4 linked regions of the Caenorhabditis elegans genome follow. The protein of the gene in region 1 interacts with the protein of each later gene in a pairwise test. Each region holds a gene or a part of one and is shown in the gene's direction. Other genes may lie near its edges.

Region 1 (6,506 bases):
ATGGGCGAAAGGAACAATGAGGAAACAGTTTTTATAAAGAAAAGGGAACTCTGAGACATATGGAGGCGGAGCTCACTTAAGCTCACGAGGTGTTATGCTCCAAGTGACATAGACGTATTTGATTACGTGATTCATAGATATATTTTAGGGAAAAGCTTTAAACAATGAAACAATGCATGTTCGTCATTCAATGTTTACTATGCTCTTTTGGTAATGAACTGGACAAGCGCGACATGCTTGAAATCCCCTGCTCTTTTCAGGTGAAGTAGCATTTGTGGTCAGTTAGATAGGTGATAGTTAAGATTTTATTTTCAAGATTTGACTTGAAAAGATATAACTATGTATAGTTTGAGGGATTAGAGGAGCAGGGTTGTTTTTAGATGTTCTTCTTGGGTAGCTATTGTTTGTCGAAAATAAAATATGAGTCGGTGAAAGGAGTTTTTGACATTTTGACAAAAATAGTTTAAGAAGTAAATTTTTAAACACTCCACGTGGGCTCGACTTTTCTGGCCACATGGCAACCACCTCCTTGCCACCCGGGCCGGATGGAATATATCCAATTTTATAAAAATGAGAATGCCAAATTGTAAAAACTAGGTCTAGGTAAATGGCTATCTGGAGTTTTACAAAACGATTTTTTCTGGAATCAATTTTTTTCTCGTGAAAAAAATCCTGAGATCAAGAAAATATTTATTGTATTCTGAAACAAAAATGTCGGAATTCGCTAAATGTTTTCTGGAAGTTTGAAAATTTTCCTGGATTTGTAAAAAAACTTAAATTCATAGCAAATATGTATGCGATTGTTGAAAACATATTCACAGAACTAAAATCGTTTGTGGAAACTAAAAATTCAGGCAGCCTTAAGGTCTCTACCTACACCTAATTAATCCCGGCGGAGGCGCAAGGAGCGCCTCTTCACTCGCCCTTTTAGCACCTCACCGGCTAAATTGAATGCGATTTTGCACACAAACAATTTCATTAAAACCCATTAACTTTTTTTAAAAATTTCAGTGAAAAATTGTGGCTCATAATTTTGAGTGTCAACCGAAAAAAAAAAAATCAAAGTACGAATTTTATATTTGAATTCTGTCAAATTTCTATAAATTAGGAAATTTGCAAAAACGTTGACTGAAAATTTCAAAAAATTTCAAGAATTATTTGAAACCTTTTACTTGCTATTTGGGCATTTCAGAACTATAGGAGCGGTTTTAAACAGATTCTACATTTAAAGGTGCACCAATAGGAAAATAATTTTCAGAGATAGATTTTCACAGGATAAGAAAACGCATAAAATTGGAAATTTTTGTAGGCATAACAAAAACATGCTAAAATATTCTGTCAAAATTGGGCAATCATCATCATCGTAAAAAACGTATCAAATTAATTATATCGGCGACCACACATACACACGACACAAAATAACCAAAAATTAATCAAAAATTCCTTTTCACTTACTCAGACTTTTCCTATTTATACAAAAAAAATACGCGGATTATTACCACCTCAAAATTCTATTTTTGTGAATTTTGATGATTGAAATTGGTGACGTTGTTATATGTGAACAATGAGGTTGGTTTTGAGAACAGATATACTTGGAATATTTTGGAATAAAAATATGATGAAATTATATATTTTTGAAAGATGGCCACGTATATTTGGGTGAATTCTCAATATCAATATGAAAAACTATTCGACCGTGCAAGAAGTACTAGTGGGAGTTTCTGATAAATAACTCAATATACTAAAATAGCCACCTACAACTGCAACAGAATAAATCTACAGTACCCCTAATGCCTGAAATTCGAAAAAGGTATGATAGGAGAGGCGCAAGAGATACGTGGGAACGAGTGTTTCATCGTAAACCTTAATCAATGTCGGCTGCGTATACCTGCGGGAACCTACTGTGCAGCCGACATTGATTGAGTACCGCGATGAACAAAATAGCAGGATTACTGTAGTGGTTCAGCTGGATTACTATAAGGTTAGTATAGAGTTAATAAAGGGATATGGTTATTGTAGTGCTACTGTAGGCTTACTAACCGGGTACTGTACGGTTACTGTACGGTTATTGTAAGACTACTGTTTAGTTACTGTAGAGTTATTGTAGTGGTACTGTAGGGTTACAAAGCGTTGCTATAAGGTTACTGTGGGCGTATGTATTGTTGGTACATGTAACTTTCATTTAGCTAAGAAAAAAGCAAAAGCCATACTTTCTAAAAACTCACACAGCCTGAAACTTTAGGTCTTGAATTTCAGTCAACTTCTTTCAGAATATAAATTTGTCCACGATTTAATCCATGCCTCCGTTTTACGTGAACATTGAAAAAAAAAACCACTTCCCCATTTTTCTTCCACGTTTACACCGTCTTTCGAAAATTATTTCTCCGTTAAAACTATCAATTATGATACTAGCTGTAATTTTCCTGATTCCATTTTCTCAGGCATCTGGAAACTGTGAGTGTTACCTAATTTCTATTTTAACTAAAGCTATAAGGATTTCAGTTTCATTATCGTCTAGTCCAAAATGCACAGTTTTATCCGATTGCCCAAAAAATTTCGCAGCGTGTATGAATGTCACCGGGCTTAGCGAAAAGAGATGTGTCAAGGATAGTGAGTTTAAGGAATTAGAGAGACAGCGCCCGGCACCTCCCTGGTTAAAAAAACCCAAGAGATGCCGGGGGCAATAAAACTTTATTTTACCTTGTTATCTTCAGCCAAACAAATCTGCATTGGCGGCATGCCGGACACCCCTGTCAAACCTTGTAACCGATCAAGAGATTGTACAGCATCCTTGGAGAGATACAGTGGCTGGTGTGATCTTGAGACCAAATTTTGCTGCAATGGTTTGTAACCCTCTTCGTGTAATTTCAGTTAAAATATAGACATTTCCAGTTGACCCAAAAGCCGCTGATTCGCCGTTTTGTCCTGACAGAATAACTCCATTGTATGGCCAAGAAAAGTGTAAAGACGTCGAAAAGGGAATGGTGTATTCTGGAAGTAGTGATCAACGTGGTGGCCTCTGTTACAAGGGGTATAGCTGCCCACCAAGTAAGTTTAAAAAAAAACTGAATTCTAATTCCACACTAAATTCCAGAAATAACTCGCCCAACCGACCTGACATTCGGAAGTATGACATTTCGAACCAACATGGACTGTTTTTCGACGGAAAAAGTGGATACCAAATACAATTTCATGTTCTGTCACAACGAGACAGGTAATTTGTGGGTGATAGGACAATTGAATTTGAATGGAGAAGAAGTGATGAAGCATTGGAAACAATGCGATTTGAACACTGATTGTGGAGAAGGACTCGTTTGTGTTAAGGAGGATTTGTGTCGGTATAGGTGTTATGAGGATCCGGTCAGTTTTTAAGGGGGTTTTCGACTAGCGGGCCCTGCGGGCCCGCCAGTTGTAGGGGTGTAAGGCGAGTCCCCTTGCCGGGCGTAGGTTCTCGACTTCGCCTCGAACCTGTTAGAGGGTTTGTGAAAATTTCAGTAGGTCAATGGGAGTCTTCTTGTTTTTTGAGTTCGGTTTGACCAAAAACAGATGCACCCGATGAATCAGTTAAAGCTGAGTTTTGATTGATTGAAGTTTGAGGAGGCTTTATATTAGGGGAGACGTACCCATATTTTGTATAAAATTGAGTATTTCTATTCGAATCCCGATTACTCACAAAAAACAAAAAAAAATTGACACTTGGTAGAATTGAACCAACAACCAAAATTTCTGCAGTCATACGCACTAACCACTCGGCCATGCGGGTGACACCTTAAACTGGGATGTAGGGAAGAACATTTTCTGGAGGAAGTCGTCTTTCGATTCCGCTTTCTTCAATTATTACTATTTGGGGAAGACGTTCGAAAACCGTTTATCACTGATAAGTCAGCGGAAAACCTAATTTTTGAAAATTTTATTACAGGATTGTACTCATTATTGAATTCCCGAAAAGGAGACGTATAGTTGAGGGCTATATCTTGTACACAGACAGATGTATAGAAAAAAACAAGTTTTAGCCTGAAAATTAAAAAAAATAATATCTCTTGGCAGAGCATTGCTAACGCGACGAAACTTCATCTTCCATTAAATAAAATCAAAAACTATGAATTAAAAATACATTCCGCGAAACTTTAGTGGAAAAAATGTTCAGGGGACCCAGGAAACCACTCCTCCCAGTACAAAATTTTTGAATTATTTTTTTCTTGAAAAATTTTCCCACTGAACTTTTTACAAATTTTATATGTCTCGATGCGTCTTGATGAGACCTACACGTCATTTTTTAGAAAACTAAGAAAACTTGAAAACTGACCGAGTTATGATTGAAAAAGTAGATTCGCAAAGATGGGAAAGTGTGCAAAATTTGGCACTTATTCGTCTTGCTCGGCCGACTCATAGAACTTTTTCCAATTCTGAGTTAAAAATCGTGTTCAGCGTACTTTTTTACGTGGTGTAAAAAAAAAAATATCAAAAAAGATGAAGTAGAACTTGAGATAAAGACGAAAAACTACTTTTTCGGAAAAAAAAATTTTTTTGGCAAAATGTCATTTTTTGGCCTTTTGTTTTATCACAACTTTTTTTCTTTTGCACTTATGAACTCAAACTTTTTTTCAAAAAATCAGTCTCTCTGAGTAGTATCTTGCACAGAAATTTGGAACAAAACCGAGCAAAACCCGAATTTTAATTCAATTAAAACATGCTTTTTTGGGGGTAAAAAGAGCAACAAAAAATTTTTTCAAACTGGGGAAAGCCGCCCTGGGCTCAATTTTGCTCCGAACTTAGTGTCGTTTTCTGCTCCACCGTGGGGCAAAATATTTCTAGTAGGATTTCAAATATTAGAGCATGAAGTCACACGGTTCAGGAGTTGTGAATGAAAACGTGTGTGACATTTTTTCGCAAGCCAAAAAAAAACGCGAAAAAACGCGAAAAAGGGGCGGAGTCTGTACACTCGGCATTTATTAGAGGCTGCTTGGCAGATTAATTTTCATTGAAAAGACGAAATTTGGGGTTCAATTATATTCCTTCAAAAATTACAAATATGAACATTCAGATTAAAAAAAAAAACAGAAAAGCCAAGATGTGTCTATTTTTCGGTTTTCTTTTCTTAAAATCGAAGAAAAAATATTTGTTTTCCAAAATGTTTTTTTACTTTCGGGTTCATGTCGTTTTTCAATACCTTCCTGAAAAACAAGAAGCCTAGTTTTTTCTGGTTTTTTCCTGTTTTTCGAAAAAAATTTCCGACTCGATCTAAAAACATTAAAATAATATACTTTTTAACGGTTTTTTGCAATCAATTTTTTTGTTGAACATTTTAATCTTTTTTCAAAAACTACAAGCCATGCAATAACCCTGTAGTGATACTCTTGTAATTCTACAGTAATCATACAGTAACCCTGAAGTAATCATACAGTAGTCATACAGAAACATATTTCCGTATCTACAGTAGCTCTACAGCAACCCTACAGTTCCTCTATAATACCGCAACAGTTAGTCAAAAAGCCCAAAATGTAAAAAATAAAATAAAACTCCCACCTTTTAATTTTCAAAATTTTCTTTCCATATTGCAAACTTCACTTCAAGAAAGTGTACTTGAAAATGTCTAAAATTAGCAGGCCAATGTTTTATCTAAAAGCTCAAAAATCCTTTTTTTTTTCAGACGATGGTCATGAATTACGACTGGGTGGTGGCTCAACTCAGTGCGATGTTCCTGCTCCCGCTAATTTTTCTGATCAGCATTATTTTTTTTACAGTCAAGTACTTGGATTAAAATAGTTTTCAATATAAACATACGTTTTTTATACATCTAAACAAGTTAACAAATTAAAAGAAATCCGGGGAAAATAAGGCTGAAAATGACTAGACTTTTTAATGCGATATTCGTTACCTGAAAATTCTGAAACCGGGCTTAGGGACTGGGGGGAGAACACAGAAATCAAATTGCTAGGCTTTGACAATAGCTGATGGAGGGATCGGAGGAGGAATAGGTGGAATTATGATGGATATTGATTCGACATAATCTGAGACTATGGTTTTTGGAAAGTTGATATGTAAGGCGAGAAGGTGATGAGAGTAGGCACGGATTCCGAGGACTTCAAGGTGATCGAGAGAGGTGAGACACGAGAGAAGACATAGAAGACCGCGTTTTTGAACCTGGAAATTATTGGGATGAGAAATAACGTTTTGGTCCAATTTAACTTTTAAAGTTGGTGGAGGACAGGGCTGTGCGGCGATTGTTTTCGGCAAACGCACAAACCGGCTTATTTCAATATGATAATCCAACTTTTTTTATCCAAAACTTATACAGAAATGTAAAAAAAGGTTCGTTCCTTATTAAAATGACAATAATTTTTGCTGAAAAACTTCATAAAGGCTCTTGTGGTTTGCAAAATTCTGCTATCAGAGCAATTATGTTTTTGAGCTATTCTAGTTTAGGAGCTCATATTAGGTAGGAGCATCGAGTACAGTGACGGCTTTTGATGATTCGAAAGAAACTGATAAAGTTTCTTACTGCA
Region 2 (6,669 bases), on another chromosome or scaffold:
ACATGTAATAGAGAAAACAAAACAGAGATTTGTTGGCAAAGTCGCCATTGGAAGCCGATCAAGTACATGTTCATGTTTGCCTACTGTTACTAGATGTTTTATTGTTTACATCTTACTTATTTGTTTTTTGAATTATCGAGAGAAACATTAAAACGCGAAAAAACAATCAGACTAAAACAGTACAATAAAAGTTCAAGTATCGCAACAATGTCTGAACGATTAGGAGATGAAAGTGACCGACAGAGATGGGAAGGAATGTTGACTTGTTTAAAATAGTTTAAAACAAGAAACAGGTTGCAGAAAGTTAGAAATACGGGGTCGAATAACACAATGAAAAGCAGAAAAAAGGTACTCGAAAAACGATAAAAAAAAGTACGAGAGGAAATAGGTGGGCACGGGGGAAAGTGGGAGGAAAGGCTAATTAAACGGAAAAGGGGCAAGCAAAAGTCGAAATATGGTTACGGTTGATGGAAAGAAGGATTCAATTACTACGTACAATTGACCAAATTGATAATTGACGAACTTTTAAAAATTTTGTTTACTTTTTGTTTATGTTGTATTGTGTTGAAAACTAAATTGTGCCGAATTATACGCATCATTTTGAAAAAGGTAACTCTCTGCCAATTTTAAGTTCTTGAAAGTCATCTATCATCTAATTTGAACGGTTTTATTTATGTAAGCCAAGTCAGTAAGAAAGTGAGTTTAAAAAATAGATAATACAAAAAATAAATATGAAAAATAAATACAAAACCAAGATTTTGGCGAGTTTGTGGTTTCTTACAATAAATTCTTGATAGATTAACAGATACCTTCAAAAACAAATCAATGGTTGAAATACTAATTTTTAACGAAACCAGGAATTCCTACAACTGTCAAAATTAAACTGGCACATGGGAAATTGAGTATCAAACAAGCAAATTAATGTTTTCTAGTCAAATCAGGGATCAAACACAAAGAATAAAAAATCTAAGGTTGTGTAACCAATGAAAAACCGAACACTGACCAAGTTTAGTCAAATTGAAAGTGGGTGAAAAATGACTGTCGACCGAAAACCAGTCAGTATGAAAAGTCTGTTGAAATTGTCGCCGACAACGGGGGTAACCACGACGATTTCGGGTTTCACACACCATCAAATATATCCTTTTGTGCGTCTCTCTTATGGAACAATATACAAGTTACGATATATTTTTTTTTGATTTTCTGTCTCTCTACTATCCAAATTTTATATTTATTGGGGAAAAATGTACAGTATAGATTGAAGCCTGGTGAGCAATCGGAAGCAAAATCATTTTCTTTGTTTTTTGTTTTTTTTTATTCGTCGTATCTATTGAAAAGAGGCAACATTGCGTCGGAAGCCCCAAAAAGGGACGGGAATGACAGTACAATTGAATTCTTCTCTTCAGAAATCTGAAATTCTTCAGAGAATTAGAAATACAATTAAAAGTTGTGTTCGAGGGGACAAGAACATAACCACACCCATCCGTTTTATTGAGGATCTGAATGTTCACGTCATAAAATGAAAAAAAAGGGGTTTGTTTATAGGTGTTCTCTATATCGGATTGACCCAAATCGGCCTACAAAAAGAGGAAATGAGATATGAAGTGGCAATAGATACAGTGATATGATAACAAGCATTACGATAAGCAACTCGTTTTTTTCATTGCAATGAAGCAACGAAAATTAGTGAACGCCTGTTCCGAAATCAGATGTACTTCTGGTGATAAAAAGAAATAAACAATCGATGTACTTTTGGTAACGTGTATTCTGTAATTCAGTTCACAAATGTTTGAAAAATTAATATTGTTGCCAGCGGTTCCGAGAGATGTATATCCTATAGTTAGTGTATACTATAGTTCCATTGAAGCTCGTAGTTCTGAAAAATTCGAAATAATTGGTTTCATAGGCACACAAGTAGGCACATTTTGCTTGAAAACCTTATTCTAACTTTTCCACGTATAACCGTTTCAAAACATGAGCTATTGAATCACATAGGTCTCAAATGCCAATCCGTTTGGCTCTCTTGGCTCTTTAGTAAGCAAAGCCGAGAAAAGGGACACCTGCAGTTTCCCAATTCGGAGAAAATGTTCAAAACGTGAACTCAAATCTGTTTGCCAGCGGTTCACAAATTTTCAAAACGTATCATGGTGAAAATATTTATTTCACCTTTTTAAAATCTAACTGAATTGTATCAACTATGGGCTTAATTGGATTATGGAATGTAAAACGTCGAGCCAATCGAGCTGTGAGAAAGTTTCAATTTGTGGTTAATAATATCAGACGGTTGGTTAGAGTGTGGATTTTGTTCAAACACATGAAAAATTTCAGAGAAAAATCAGGTCAAAACCGAGTTTTAAGATATTCTGAACGTTTGAAAAAATGGTTGTCCGTTTTATATCCTCCATGGAAAAAGGAAAAAGATGATGGGATTTATGACAATTTATTCGAAGATGGAACAAGGTTTTTGGAATTATTTTGAGAAAAAAGAAAATCTTAAAATTATTTTTCCAGAGCTAATTCTATTGTACTTCTATTCCGAAACATCCTAATGATTGAATTATTTGGAATAGTTATGTATTTTCTGTTGTCGTTCAAATATTCACAATACCCGGAGTTGTAAGTAGATCATATCCTAAATCTAAAGTTAAATATTTTCAATATAGTATTGGAACTTCCATATCCACAATTATCCACGTTTTTCTGATTTTCACTTTGATATTTCCAAAAGTAAGTACTTCAGGATTTTTATGTGGAATTAATAAAATATTTCGTTTCAGATGATGACGTACTTTATGATTTCTATCCACGTCATGTTGACTACAAAAATCAAAAACATAATTTTAATTCTTCTTGTCACAATGGCTTTTGAAGTTTTATCAATTCATCTATTCACGGGAACATCTCAAACTAATTTCAGGGTCCTGCAATGAATGTTATTGGAAATATTCATCAAGTAGCTTCTGGTGTTGCCTGCGTTCAAATTGATGTTATGAGTTCAAGAAATGATGTGGAAGGGAATGTAATGGATAAAGGAGCTATGCTTGTTTCTCGGTTTCGTGCACTTCTTCAAAATGTATCTGGTCCAATGAATAAGGTCAAGAAAATGCTATTGGTTCTAGATGAAAAGATGACAAAGTAAGTTGCAATTGGGATACCCAAAATGTCAAATTCTTGTAATTTGATTAAATTGATATTGTTTCAATTAAGATTTGTGGACATCATGAGGCGACATTATCGAGTTATAGCCAACTTGTCAAATCAATGTCGAAATATGCTCAAAACTCCCTATACAAAATGTCTTGATATTTTCGACGACGCATATTTTTATTGTAAGGGGAAAGCTCGATTTTTTGGAAGCCACGGCGATGCTTGTGAAATGATTCAGAAAACTGCAAAGGTATTCAATCAGTCAACATATCAATCCTATTATAAAACATTAAGATTTGCCATCAAGCAAAGGGTTTCTCAACGGAAGTATGTTCTTTACCTTCTATCATTGGAAAAGGAGTTAAAGGAGCAGCTGTACCATTTTATGCAGCTTACTTTCAAGCAATTGAATTCGCGGTGAAAAAGATTTTCTACGTACACATTGAAGCAGCAAAATGGGCACTGAAGAAAGTGAATCCAGTGATAGAAGAGATAAAAAAGGCGAAAAACATTCGAGCTGAATACCAGTCATCTGATGATGGTAAACCAAATGCTGCAGATGATACAACTGCAAACTTGAGAGCAAGTATAAAGAAAAGTTTGATGGGAATTGTGAATGTATACATACGGATTATCAATATAATTTCATTTATTCTTCGATATTGTATCATGCCAGGATTGCTCATATGGCCGTTCATCTATGTGAGTTTAAATAAGTAATATGTTAACATACAAAATTTTGAACTGATATTTTTCAGACACTTCGGTTCATGTATAACTACAACTATAATGACGACTTTAAAAACCGTTTTCTCACAAAAGAATTTACAAAAATTGATCAAGATTGTGCATTTCGCGGAGCTCGTAAAGTCATGCCATTAATGGCAAATGAATCAAAGCAGGTAGGTTTCTCTGGTTCATTATCATTCTAAAAATCTTAGACACCGTTTAGTATGTCAGTCGAGGTCAGTGGAAAATGACAGAACAAGAGCGACCTAAATTTCGATTAGATATTTTCATCACAATTGTCAGTTGTGTCACTCCTTTCTTTATGTGTATGCTTGATTATGGTATATTTACGGTAATTAAATGAATAAAATTATATTGACTTCAAATCTATAGATTCAAAGTTTCAGACTCTATCAACTGTTCATACTTTAATGAACCGAACAAATATCGATACTCCTGCTCATTATGAATTGAAAGTTGCTGGAAATAGTTCAATGTCAGATGTGATGAATGAATTTCTCGATGTTTTCAGTCCATTTACTAAAAGTATTCGAGACCGTGAAAATCGTTGGAGACGATGTTTCAACGAACCAAATCCTCCAAACTATACAGAAAATATGGTGATGTTTCTCATGTTTATCGCTGCACTTTTTCTTTGTCGATTGAAGGTTTGAAGAGTTGAGGAGTACTGTTAAGATATATTTAATTTTTGAAGGCATATTTTGGAAGGCAAACACTTGTATTGGCAGATTACTTCTTTCCGAATCGAGTAAGAATTCGTGCATTGAGCCTTTATAACAAAATTTTACAAAGTCGACGAAATTTGCTGACAGAAATGTTAGGAAATAATAAGGTAAATGGGAATTTCCGGTCTCGAGTTGACTGAAATATTTTCAATTCCTCGATATTCACAACTTAAACATTGAAAAAAAGTTAGCCACTACAGTACTACTTACTACATCACTACGTCACCGGTACCGTATTTTTTGAGTGATAAATCCCGATTTTGCGAATTGATAGTATTCAAAAACAGATATATTTTTTCCTGAATTTGACATTCCGATTTGATTTAAAAGTAATTTTTGCACTCGTAACATTGATAATTGACAGAAAGATGTAGTGGGTGGTGAAGATGTCATAATTCGGAGAACAATGCAAAGTCGTGGATTCGTGTGCTCCGATTGTGTAAAATGTGAAAAGTACGATATGAAAGTGTCTGATCAAGAGTTAGTTTTGTTTATTGATGATCAAGAAAACAAAGCTATTAATTCAGAAATGTGCGAGTGTGTGTTCATTGTAGTGCTTTTTACTGTATCAACTGTTTCTCAGTGACTCTTTTCTGTGTGAAATGCGAGGAGGAAATGCAATGTATTAACGGGATTGAGCTATACTATGAGGAGAGTAACGCAATTATTGATGACTCAGGTAAAATTAACTTTATTTAAACATTAATAATCATCTATTCCAGATATTTCATTGAGTGAACGCGAAGACGACGAACCTGACAAAGAACCAACAGAAGGAACAACCACCACCGCAGTAACCACTGTCGTCTGAATGATGTTTGAAAAATTAACTTTCCCGCCGTTGGGGAAAGCGCGCTCCAATGACAATGTACTTTTCGAGTTCAAATTTATTTGCCTTTTGGCGCAGTTTTCGAAATGATTTCGTTCATTTATTAGTTTTCTTATTATTTCCTCGAACTTCAATGATTATTTTCCAATTGAATTCAAATAAATTATCATTTAAACTTCATTTTATTTGTTATTTATGGGTTTTCCCGTTTGGAACTCTAATTCACTGATTTATTGTTTCAGAAATGATGGGTGATAGTCATTCTTCATTCACAACAACGACAGATGAACATCTATATAATCAATTTTCTCCGGGAAGAAGGTATCAATTAAGTAAAGATTCATACAATGAGAATAATTATAGAAAGAACGATTTTCCCGCTGCAAGCAGTTCATCATCTTCACCAAACTTGCGAAGGTCCCCAAACCGCACAGTCAGTTCACCGCGTGTTCAACAGAAGCCAATCACAATTTTCGATCAAATCGTGGATTGGTTTCAAGCGGAAATCAGTGTTAGAAAGAGATTAGCTGGTGCTGCATGCGGATATCTGTCCACCATTTTCTTCATTGTCACAGTATCCATTTTGAAACTCACGATTTGGGCCCCTTTCAGCTCAGTTCAAGGTTGACGTTTATTTATTTTTCTATGATTGGACATTTCTCTTTTTCAGACTCCCTGGCGTGGTGGATTTATCCAAACGCATGGGCCTCAATCATTTTCGTTGGTATTGCTTCTGTAGCCATGTCTCTTTTCAGCATTATCAAATTTTGCAAAGGTGAGCTCATTACTCTTTTTTCTTAATTTTAAATCGAATTTAAGTTGATCAACTTCCACGATTGGCAGCTACTGATACGTTCGCTTTAGCTGGAGTTGCACTCGAATTTGTTACCCGCCTCACATTTGTCTACACAGCCTTCTGTGTTGCGGATTTCTCATTTTCCAGAGAATTCGCCTTTGTTGCTATTTCGCTCGCCATAGCAATTTCATCAGCGCTAGTCGTTTTCCGTTCGGATTATCAACTCAATTTTTCGCATATCCAAGTGGTACTTTGTTTATATTCTATTTTTAATAACTCACAGAACAACTTTCAGAATTCTGTTAAAACTCTCATCGATTTTGGAACGTCTCTTCCATATGCAAATATTTCTGAGATCTGTGGAATTGATGCGGCTATCTCATACACCGCAGCCGTAGCTTTGATTCTTGTTGTTGGACCCATGG
Region 3 (4,374 bases), on another chromosome or scaffold:
TGTTCTTTGGTTAACCATACAGTGTGAGTATAAAAGGCCTGGAAACTAGAGAAAATCATCTGTTCCAATCCTTTCGAACCGTATCATGCGCTTCTTCGCAATTGCAGCTCTTCTTGTTTCAAGCTGTTTCCTTATTGAGGTATAATGGCCATCTAATAGTATTGTTGAGCCAAATGTTCATTTTAAATAGTTGTTGAACAGGGCTGAGCGGCGATCCAAAAAAATCGGCTAAGTACCCAAATTTAACAAATATTTGTTTTTCTTGAGCATTGCTTGCAGACATAAGATTATATATTCCACGATTTCAGTCGACCACGATTGACCACGATTTCAGTCAAATTTCACAAAAATCATTTCCAGGCAACAACAATTCGCGATAAACGCCAATCCTGTGGCTGTGCTCCAAGAGTTCAACCAAGTTGCTCTTGCCAACGAACCACCTATACTCAACCACAACAGTACAGTTGTTCCTGTCAGAACACTGCTCCAGTCCAGAAATCCTGTTCATGTGCCCAACCAGTTCAGCAACAAACCTACCAAATTCAAGCTTCTCAATGTGCCCCAGCTTGTCAGCAGTCTTGCCAGAACCAATGTCAATCTGCTCCATCTGTTAGTCAATGTCAATCTACATGCCAACAAAGCTGTCAGACTTCTTCCTGTTATACTCCAACTACTCCAGCTCCAGTTCAATGTCAACCATCCTGCATGCCAGCCTGTGAACAATCCTGTGTTGTCCAGACTCCAGCTGCAGTTCAATGCGTGCCACAATGCCAACAACAGTGCCAACAGCAATGTGTTCAAACTCAACCAATTCAACAATGTCAGCCACAATGTCAGCAACAATGTGTTCAACAATGTGCTCCAACCACTACTGCCGCTCCACAAATAATCAAGATTAACATGGAAATCTCTGCTCAGTGTGTTCCTCAATGCCAGCAATCATGCCAACAACAATGTGTTCAACAACAAGTTCCAGCCCAACAGTGCAATCAGCAATGCACCCAGCAATGCCAGACCACCTGCCAGCAAGCAGTTCCACAATGCCAACAACAGTGTGCTCCACAATGCCAACAACCATCAGCTCCACAGTGCCAGCAGTGCCAGAATACCTGCCAACAAGCTGCTCCAGTTTGTCAGCAACAGTGTGCTCCACAATGTCAACAGCAATCTGCACCAGCTTGCCAACAATGTCAGACTTCGTGCCAACAAACTCAACAGTGCCAACAACAATGTACTCCACAGTGCCAGCAACCATCTGCTCCACAATGCCAGCAATGCCAATCTGCATGCCAAGCTCCAGTTGCCACTACTGCTGCTCCACAAGCTGTCACAATCATTCTGGAAGCTTCAGTCTCCCAATCTGCACAATGTGAACCACAATGCCAGCAATCATGCCAACAGCAATGCGTTCAGCAGCAACAACCAATGCAACAATGTGCTCCAGCTTGCACCCAATCATGCTCTCAATCCTGTTCTGCTGCTCAACCAGCCCAGATGCCATGCCAGACACAATCAGTCAACTCCTGCTCGTGCCAGCAAAACTATTCTCCATGTGGAAATGGACAGTGTTGCAAGAGAAAGTAGACATCGAATGCGTAACTTTGACATCAGTTCTCTGTATATATGACACAATTTTCTCATTTTTTTCACAATAAATAATAATAATGCTTGAAATAATTTACTTCTAACTTCCAAATAATTTCTTCGATAATCAGCAACAAATAAAGTCCCATAAATTTTTTTCACAAAACATTATTTCTAAATGCCACGGTATTTTTTTACTCCTGCGGTAAATGAAATAAAACTTCACGCAATCCAGCAGTACATTTTTTACAATTTTTGAATATTTCTCAATCATTTCTGCATTTGGAAGTCGTTTGGTAAGTTCTTTTGAACATGATTTGAACCAAATAAAGTTTATATGATTTAGACAAGAAATTTAAAAGTGAAAACCAATGTCATGGTATTCAAAGATTTACGTAGCAGTGCGAGAATACCGCGCTAAACATAAAATCACTGGATGGATTTTGACGAGATGTCTCAATGTACTTCTTTTCATTCAACTTATTTTGCTCTGGTGGTCGTGAGTCATTCTTGATTGTTTGCGAATCATTTAACTGGGTCTTTTGCAGACTTTATATGTACGTGACAGTGACAATTGGTTATTACGTTCAGTCAACAATTCAAGCAACCATTTATTTGATTGTTGGATCATTTCTGTTTGTTATGTCAATGTGGAGTCTTGCAAAAACGTTGTTCACGAGAGTTGGCAGAGTTCCAGAAAGATATCGACCTAGTAAAGAACTTGAAGATAGATTGAAAGCAGTCACACCGATGGAGAAAAATCGATACGTGGTAGAGAAATCGACACCTGAACAGGTAAAGTGAAAAAATCAAAATAAGTGGTTTAATCTTGTCTTGATTGTTTTGTTTTTTATTATTATTTGTTTATTTTATGGATGCTAAATACACTTTATATAATACACCAACAAAGTTTTCAGCTTGCACAACAAAATACTATTTTGGAGGAGATGTGTACTTACTGTAAAGTAGTCGTCGCTGAATGTGATCAAGTGGGAAGGCTCAAGTATTGTTACGAGTGCGGACATATCAAACCGGATCGTGCCCGACATTGTAGCTCATGTGGGAAGTGTTGCATTAAGTATGATCATCACTGTCCATGGATAAACATGTGTGTTACACACGTCAATTACAAGTACTTTCTACTCTACATTATCTACACCAGTTTTCTTGTTTATTGGTATTTGCTCACTTCACTAGAAGGTGCTGTTCGATATTTTATCAATCAACAATGGACCGATGAATTGGGAAAGTTTTTGTTCTACTTGTTCAGTTTTATTGTCGGCGGAGTGTTTGGTTACTATCCACTCGGTGAACTTATCATATTCCATTATCAATTGATCTCATTGAACGAGACAACTGTCGAACAAACAAAACCAGCTCTTCTAAGATTTGATAATGCAGCTGACTACAATATGGGGAAATATAATAATTTTCAATCAGTGTTTGGATGGGGATTATGGCTGTGTCCAATTGATTCCAGCACCCAGGATGGTCTGCATTTCGACATAAGGTATTTTAGAATTTCGTTTAAAAATCAGTTTAGCACTACAAAACGTGCGCAATAAAGTATTTCTTTCTGAAAATTTTTCTTGTATATAAGCTAATCAGATATTTTTCCAGATACGTCAACACCCAGCAACGGAATCGATTTGTTAGAATTGAGGAGGAACCATCAAGTACTCAAAGTTCGCAGTCATCGATTCAATGATTCGGTTTAATGAAACTTTCCTTGATGTTTTTTTTTAAATTAATTTTTGTTCGTATCTATATACAGTGCTCCACAAAATGATACGGCCACCCCTAAATTTTGGTATAACTCAAAACTGGGTTAAGATAGCAAAACATAGTTTCATGTGAAAATGTTCGTTGTACTGGCTAGCTTTGAGATAAGTGATGGAAATATACCCGAAGCGTTCGTAAAAAAGAAAAAAAAACATTTTTTCATGAAAAACTATTTAAAAAACTCCACAAAATGATACGGCCAGGTGGTAGAAAAGTAGGAAAACTTAGAAAAATAAGGAACAAGAGATGATTAATAATCCACGGGATGAGCTCTTGTACTAATCACATCAAAAACGCGTGAATCCATGAAAAGTTAAAGATTGTCCAGGAGAGTTTGGTCAACTTTATGCCATGCGTCAAGAATTGCTCTTTTGAGGTCGTTAACATTGCTATTGTTTCCATCGTAAATCTTTCTCATCATGAATCCCCAAACGTTTTAAATTATGTTTATGTCCGGGGAGCAGGCAGGCGAGTCGGGAACAGGGAGCCCTCTGTCACTTATCCACTTGATTGTACGACGCGCGCGGTGACAAGGCGCTCCATCTTGTTGGTAAGTGTATTTTCTGGACCTGTTTCGACGGATAAACGGTATCAAACCGCGCCTCATCACATATCTGTAATCGCATCCGCAAACTGGATACGATTTTGGCGGTGTTTTTTGGTGACGCATGGAGCCTTTCTCAATTTTCTTCTTTTAATAAATTGGGACTTCGAAAGAACTCGTCGTACGGTCTCAACATACACTGGCAGGTTCATCTCGCTCTTTATTTTCGAGCAAGTCACTGTTGAATTGGATGCTCGACAAACGATATTCCGCTTGTCCCGATCAGAAAAAAGTGGTGGGCGACCAGAAGACTTTTTGGGGCCATAAGCCGCAGGATTGGAAGCATATCGAGAAATCATATCTCTCGAACGATTCAAATTACGAGAAATCTGACGATGCGATGTGGAGCACTGTACTTATTCACACTTGATTTCATCTGAAATTCATATCAAATGTTTTTAAAG
Region 4 (5,399 bases), on another chromosome or scaffold:
TACAACTAAAATCGAGCCGCGACGCGACACGCAACGCACCGTAAATCTATTGAGCCAACATGGCCTAGTTTGGCAAACTCTTCCATTTCAATTTACGAGGGAAGCCAGAAATCCGTGAATCTGGCTATAATTTGGAAAAAAAGCAGTTAAACTCCTCGCTTCGAGACCTAAAAACAAAAAATCTAAAAATTCGTATTTTCTGCAATTTCGCGTCGAGTTGTGGGCGCGCAATAGAGCGCGCTTGGTGTAATTCCGCGCAATTTTCAGGTAATAGACATGTCTAAACTGCCACATCATAAACTTTTTCGGCAAATCCACTGTCTCTTTTGACCTCAATTCCACGATAGTTTCCCCCCACAAACAATTGTCCGAGACTGTTTTCCCATTGAATTGGGCCCCTGCGGAGCGAATTGTGTTTTGTTTATTTTGTAGGGGAGATTAGTTTCATAAAAGTAATATATTAATTGTTATACACATTTACCTATTCAGTCTCGAGTGGGGCGGCTTTATATTTGCACAATTTCGGGCTCTTTTTGGTGAATATTTCATAAATTCTGAAATTTGATACTTTTCGCCTTATTTATAGGCAAAAGTTGTAAGGAAAACGGCCTTTTTGGAGAAAAAAATGTTTGTGGCCGGTGTTTTCTCTTTCCGCGGCCACGGAACGCGTTTGAGTTTCAAATTTTTAGGATTTCTGGCTTCCCTCATAAATTGAAATGGGAGAGTTTTTGCCGAACTAGGCCATTTTGGATCAGTAGATTTACGGCGCGTTGCGTGTCGCGTCGCGGCTCGATTTTAGTTGTAAAACTAAATTTATTTGTCCGTGTGGAGTACACGACTTTCCCGCCCGGCAGGCGATTGTCAATGGAGCGCGAAAAATTATATAATAATATTAACGAAAATTGATAAATTTTTGAAACCGTTGTGCGCCTTTAAAAATGGAGTACTGTATATTTTTCCGAAAAAAAAAACCAATAAACTTCACAGAAATCGAATGATTTCAGACATGTACGTCTTTAAATTTTAATCGATAAGAATTTTTATAAACATGTTCGAAAAATCGAGAAACCCTCAATTTGTTTCATTAGAAACGTACATGCTTTTTTATATTTTGGGTACTGTAATTTTTAAAGTTTTAAGTCTGGAAATCAATTTTTTCACGGGTTTCTGGCTTTACTCTCATTGAATTTTTCGCGCTCCATTGACAATCTCCTGACGGACAACGCGTGGGAAAGTGTCGCGTACTCCACACGGACAAATAGATTTAGTTTTACAACTAAAATCGAGCCGCGACGCGACACGCAACGCGCCGTAAATCTACCCCAGATATGGCCGAGCCCATATGGCCTAGTTCGGCAACTCTTCCATTTCAAGCCAGAAATCCGTGTTTTTTAATTCCAATTTTGAAAAATTTAAGGAAAATCGATAAATTACAAGCATGCCCCTTTAAACTTCGGTTACTGTAGTTTTCAAAGTTTTAAGCCTGAAAATCGACTTTTTCATTTTAAATTTGAGACATTGAGGAAAAATCAATAAATTTTAATTTTAAATGTTTTATCGACGTTTCCACGTGCCACAGGGCAACCTTTTTGTCACGTGCATTTTCCGAAAATCGAAACCAAACCGTTTAGTTCAAATTTCAATCATTACCGTTTTTCTCCCTGCATAAACAACAATTTTGCACGTGGTAAGTCAATGTTCTCGTCGTCTGGGCTCTCTCTCTCTCTTCTCGCCCACTCACCACGCCCTGTCCAATAGAGCGTATTTGCAGAAAAAAGAAGCAATGGATAGTAGCACACATAGTACCGCGGATTTCGGGCGTCTCGTGTGGATTTCGGATGAAGCAGAGGGCTTTGTGGCCGCCCGTATCACAGATATCGCGGAAAACGGCTTCACATTGGCCACTGAAAAGACGTCGGAAACTGTGAATCGTCGCTATGAGGACACATGGGCCTGTGAGGAGGATCCGCAGAAGTCGGTCGAGGACAATTGCGCTCTAGTGCACTTGAATGAGGCGACACTGCTCAACAATTGTCGTTTGCGTTATGCAAATGGCAAAATCTATGTAAGTATGGAGCAAGCATGTGGAATCGAACCCCGGTCTTGTGTACAAAAGAGTAGCTCGCTAACCACTAGACCAAACGCGCACAGCTTGCCGGCCGCCTGTGGAGTGTTTATGTGCACGGCTGTGTGCGAGACACCCCGCTGGTTTTGTCAGCGTCTTTATGTAGGTCTCTCCGGCGCGTCTGTTCCGTGGCCTTGTGGCCTAATGGATAAGGCGTCTGACTTCTAATCAGAAGATTGCAGGTTCGAGCCCTGCCTGGGTCAAATCTTTTTGTTTTTTTTTTTTTTAATATTTTATTTTATTTGGCTTTTTCAGACCTACGTGGCAAACATTCTGATCTCAATCAACCCCTACCAACTGATCGATGGACTCTATTCTCCTGAAACGATTAAAGAATACCGTGGAAAATCGCTCGGTCAGATGGAGCCGCACATTTTTGCGATCGCCGACAAGGCCTATCGAGAGATGCGTCGTATCAAGACGTCCCAATCGATTATTGTGTCTGGAGAGTCTGGAGCCGGAAAGACTGAATCACAGAAAGCAGTGTTGAAGTACCTCTGTGAAAACTGGGGAACCGACGCCGGACCAATTCAGCAGAGACTTCTTGAAAGTATTATTAATTTGAACTTTTGGAAAATTCGAAATAGAGCGCGTTTGCAGTAACCGGGAATTTTTTCCCGTAGAAATGGATGGAAGGTGTCAGAGTGTCTTATTTTGGCTTGATCTACGTTGATCTACAAAAAATGCGGGAGCAGAAACGCAGACATCTCATCTGATTTCGCTTTTGGTTAAGAACGCTCTGACGTCATATATTTTTGGGCAAAAAATTCCCGCATTTTGTGTAGATCAAACCATGGATGAGACAGTCTGGCACCATAAATGTTCACTTTTTTAAACAGAAATCGATAATTTCCATAATTTATGCTGAAGCTCAAGATCTAAAATAAATTTAAAATTTTCAGCCAACCCAATCCTGGAAGCCTTTGGAAATGCCAAAACTCTGCGCAACAACAATTCGAGTCGATTCGGAAAATTTGTGCAGATTCACTTTTCTGATAATGTAAGCTTTTCCCAAGTGATGGCCATGTGGCCGTGAAAAATTTCAAAAACTCGGCCACCAACAACCACAATTTCCAGGGAACTGTCGCCGGTGGATTTGTGTCTCACTATTTGCTGGAAACATCGAGAGTCTGCCGTCAAGCTGCCGGAGAAAGAAACTACCACATTTTCTATCAATTGATTGCCGGATCGTCACCGGATTTGTACAAGAAGTTGAGATTGGCTCCGGCGAGCAGTTTTAATGTTAGTCTCTGTTCTAATTGAGGAAAATCGATACTTTTCAGCAGAAAATCGATACTTTTCAATAGAAAATCGATAATTTTCAATAGAAAATCGATAATTTTCATTGAAAATCGATACTTTTATGAAAATCAACAATTTTCATTAAAAACTGATAATTTTCAATAGAAAATCAATACTTTTCAACAGAAAATCAATAATTGTCAGCAAAAAATCGATATTTTACATGAAAAATCGATATTGTTCAACAGAAAATCGATAATTATCAAGAAAAAGTCAATAATTTTTCATCAAAAATCAATAATGTTCAACAGAAATCAATATATTTCACAAAAATCGATAATTTTCACCGAAAATAGATAATCTTCAGAAAAATTCGATAATTTTCACCAAAAATCGATAATTTTTTATCAAAAATCGATACTTTTCATTAGAAAATCAATAATTTTCAATAGAAAATCAATAATTTTCATTGAAAATCGATACTTTTATGAAAATCAACAATTTTCATTAAAAACCGATAATTTTCAATAGAAAATCAATACTTTTCAACGGAAAATCAATAATTCTCAGCAAAAATCGATATTTTACATCAAAAATCGATAATTTTCAAGAAAAAGTCAATAATTTTTCATCAGAAAATCAATAATTTTCTGCAAAAAATCGATAATTTTCACCAAAAATCAATAATGTTCAACAGAAATCAATATATTTCACAAAAATCGATAATTTTCACCGAAAATAGCTAATTTTCAGAAAAATTCGATAATTTTCACCAAAAATTGATAATTTTCAGCAAAAATCGATAATTTTCATCAAAAATCAATAATTTTCAAGAAAAAGTCAATAATTTTTCATCAGAAAATCAATAATTTTCTGCAAAAAATCGATAATTTTCATCAAAAATCAATAATGTTCAACAGAAATCAATATATTTCACAAAAATCGATAATTTTCAGCAAAAATCGATAATTTTTTTCAATTTCAGTACTTGAAACACGGAGCAACACTGTTCTTTGTCAACTCCAAGTCTTCTCTGAAAACCGACGCAAGCCGCTTCTCCGAGACCAACTCTTCAGTCTCTGATTCCATTATCAGTGATATCGATGATTTTGCGAAGCTTGAACGAGCTCTCGCACTATCTGGAGTTTCAGACGATGAGAAGATGTTCATCTGGTCGACAGTTGCCGGGATCCTTCATCTTGGAAACATCGAGTTTGAGGAGAACGCGAGTGATTCTCGTGGTGGATGCATGATTACTTCGGGCACTGAAAACTCGTTGATGGCAGCTGCAGAGCTTTTGGGCTTGGAGCCGGAAGAGATGAAGCTTGGACTATGTGCTAGAATCATGCAAACTACGAAAGGAGGTGTCAAGGGTACCCTTATCCGTGTCCCTTTGAAAGCTCACGAAGCGTCTGCTGGAAGAGATGCTCTGGCTAAGGCAATCTACTCTAAGCTCTTCGATTGGCTCGTTGCTCAGATTAACAAGAGTATTCCATTTGAGAAGAGCACAGGGTACATTGGAGTTTTGGATGTCGCTGGTTTCGAGTACTTTGCCGTTAACTCATTCGAGCAGTTTTGCATCAATTTTTGCAACGAGAAGCTTCAGCACTTTTTCAACGAGAGAATCTTGAAGCAGGAGCAAGAAATGTATGAAGCCGAGGGCTTGAACATCCAGAAGATTGAGTTCACAGACAATTTGGATTGCATTGAGCTCTTCGAGAAGAAAGCCTCGGGGCTCTTTGACTTGCTCGATGAGGAAGCCAAATTGCCACGTGCCACATTCCAACATTTCACCCAGAGAGCTCACGAATCGAATAAGAACCACTTCCGATTGGATGCACCGCGCAAGTCGAAAGTCAAGTCGCATCGCGAAATGAGAGATGACGAGGGATTGTTGATTCGTCATTATGCTGGAACGGTGTGCTATGAGACGAGATATTTTGTTGAGAAGAACAATGATCAGTTGCACAACTCGTTGGAAATGCTCATTGAGCAGTCATCGTGAGTTTTTTTTTTTTGGAGGGAGCTAGGA

Evidence for each region.
Region 2: the proteins of spe-43 (region 1) and spe-42 interact in a two-hybrid assay, tested with the Caenorhabditis elegans proteins (one study listed by BioGRID).
Region 3: the proteins of spe-43 (region 1) and spe-10 interact in a two-hybrid assay, tested with the Caenorhabditis elegans proteins (one study listed by BioGRID).
Region 4: the proteins of spe-43 (region 1) and spe-15 interact in a two-hybrid assay, tested with the Caenorhabditis elegans proteins (one study listed by BioGRID).

What each region holds. Positions count from the first base shown.
Region 1 is NC_003282.8:13,138,251-13,144,756, reverse strand, and holds spe-43 (uncharacterized protein), read left to right. Parts: upstream 1-2,402; coding exon 2,403-2,454; intron 2,455-2,502; coding exon 2,503-2,610; intron 2,611-2,714; coding exon 2,715-2,843; intron 2,844-2,892; coding exon 2,893-3,048; intron 3,049-3,094; coding exon 3,095-3,360; intron 3,361-5,650; coding exon 5,651-5,761; downstream 5,762-6,506. Other genes in the region: B0564.9 (F-box domain-containing protein), read right to left, coding at 5,935-6,144.
Region 2 is NC_003283.11:11,732,494-11,739,162, reverse strand, and holds spe-42 (Dendritic cell-specific transmembrane protein-like domain-containing protein), read left to right. Parts: upstream 1-2,166; 5' UTR 2,167-2,194; coding exon 2,195-2,280; intron 2,281-2,325; coding exon 2,326-2,457; intron 2,458-2,508; coding exon 2,509-2,613; intron 2,614-2,660; coding exon 2,661-2,724; intron 2,725-2,774; coding exon 2,775-2,867; intron 2,868-2,914; coding exon 2,915-3,132; intron 3,133-3,204; coding exon 3,205-3,394; intron 3,395-3,438; coding exon 3,439-3,846; intron 3,847-3,902; coding exon 3,903-4,046; intron 4,047-4,096; coding exon 4,097-4,225; intron 4,226-4,280; coding exon 4,281-4,541; intron 4,542-4,588; coding exon 4,589-4,726; intron 4,727-4,983; coding exon 4,984-5,099; intron 5,100-5,146; coding exon 5,147-5,298; intron 5,299-5,341; coding exon 5,342-5,430; 3' UTR 5,431-5,623; downstream 5,624-6,669. Other genes in the region: npp-22 (Nucleoporin ndc-1), read left to right, coding at 5,693-5,769, 5,812-6,071, 6,119-6,223, 6,268-6,491, 6,540-6,669.
Region 3 is NC_003283.11:10,382,393-10,386,766, forward strand, and holds spe-10 (Palmitoyltransferase spe-10), read left to right. Parts: upstream 1-1,857; 5' UTR 1,858-1,880; intron 1,881-1,930; 5' UTR 1,931-1,955; coding exon 1,956-2,083; intron 2,084-2,132; coding exon 2,133-2,379; intron 2,380-2,501; coding exon 2,502-3,094; intron 3,095-3,204; coding exon 3,205-3,292; 3' UTR 3,293-3,348; downstream 3,349-4,374. Other genes in the region: pqn-2 (Prion-like-(Q/N-rich)-domain-bearing protein), read left to right, coding at 86-139, 361-1,584. UniProt on the Caenorhabditis elegans protein: Involved in spermatogenesis, specifically in the morphogenesis of fibrous body-membranous organelles (FB-MO), which are Golgi-derived organelles used for transporting sperm-specific components, in spermatocytes and in their localization into budding spermatids.
Region 4 is NC_003279.8:1,444,883-1,450,281, forward strand, and holds the start of spe-15 (Myosin motor domain-containing protein), read left to right. Parts: upstream 1-1,614; 5' UTR 1,615-1,687; intron 1,688-1,771; 5' UTR 1,772-1,783; coding exon 1,784-2,065; intron 2,066-2,252; exon of another isoform or gene 2,253-2,352; intron 2,353-2,380; coding exon 2,381-2,675; intron 2,676-3,027; coding exon 3,028-3,125; intron 3,126-3,202; coding exon 3,203-3,367; intron 3,368-4,352; coding exon 4,353-5,368; intron 5,369-5,399.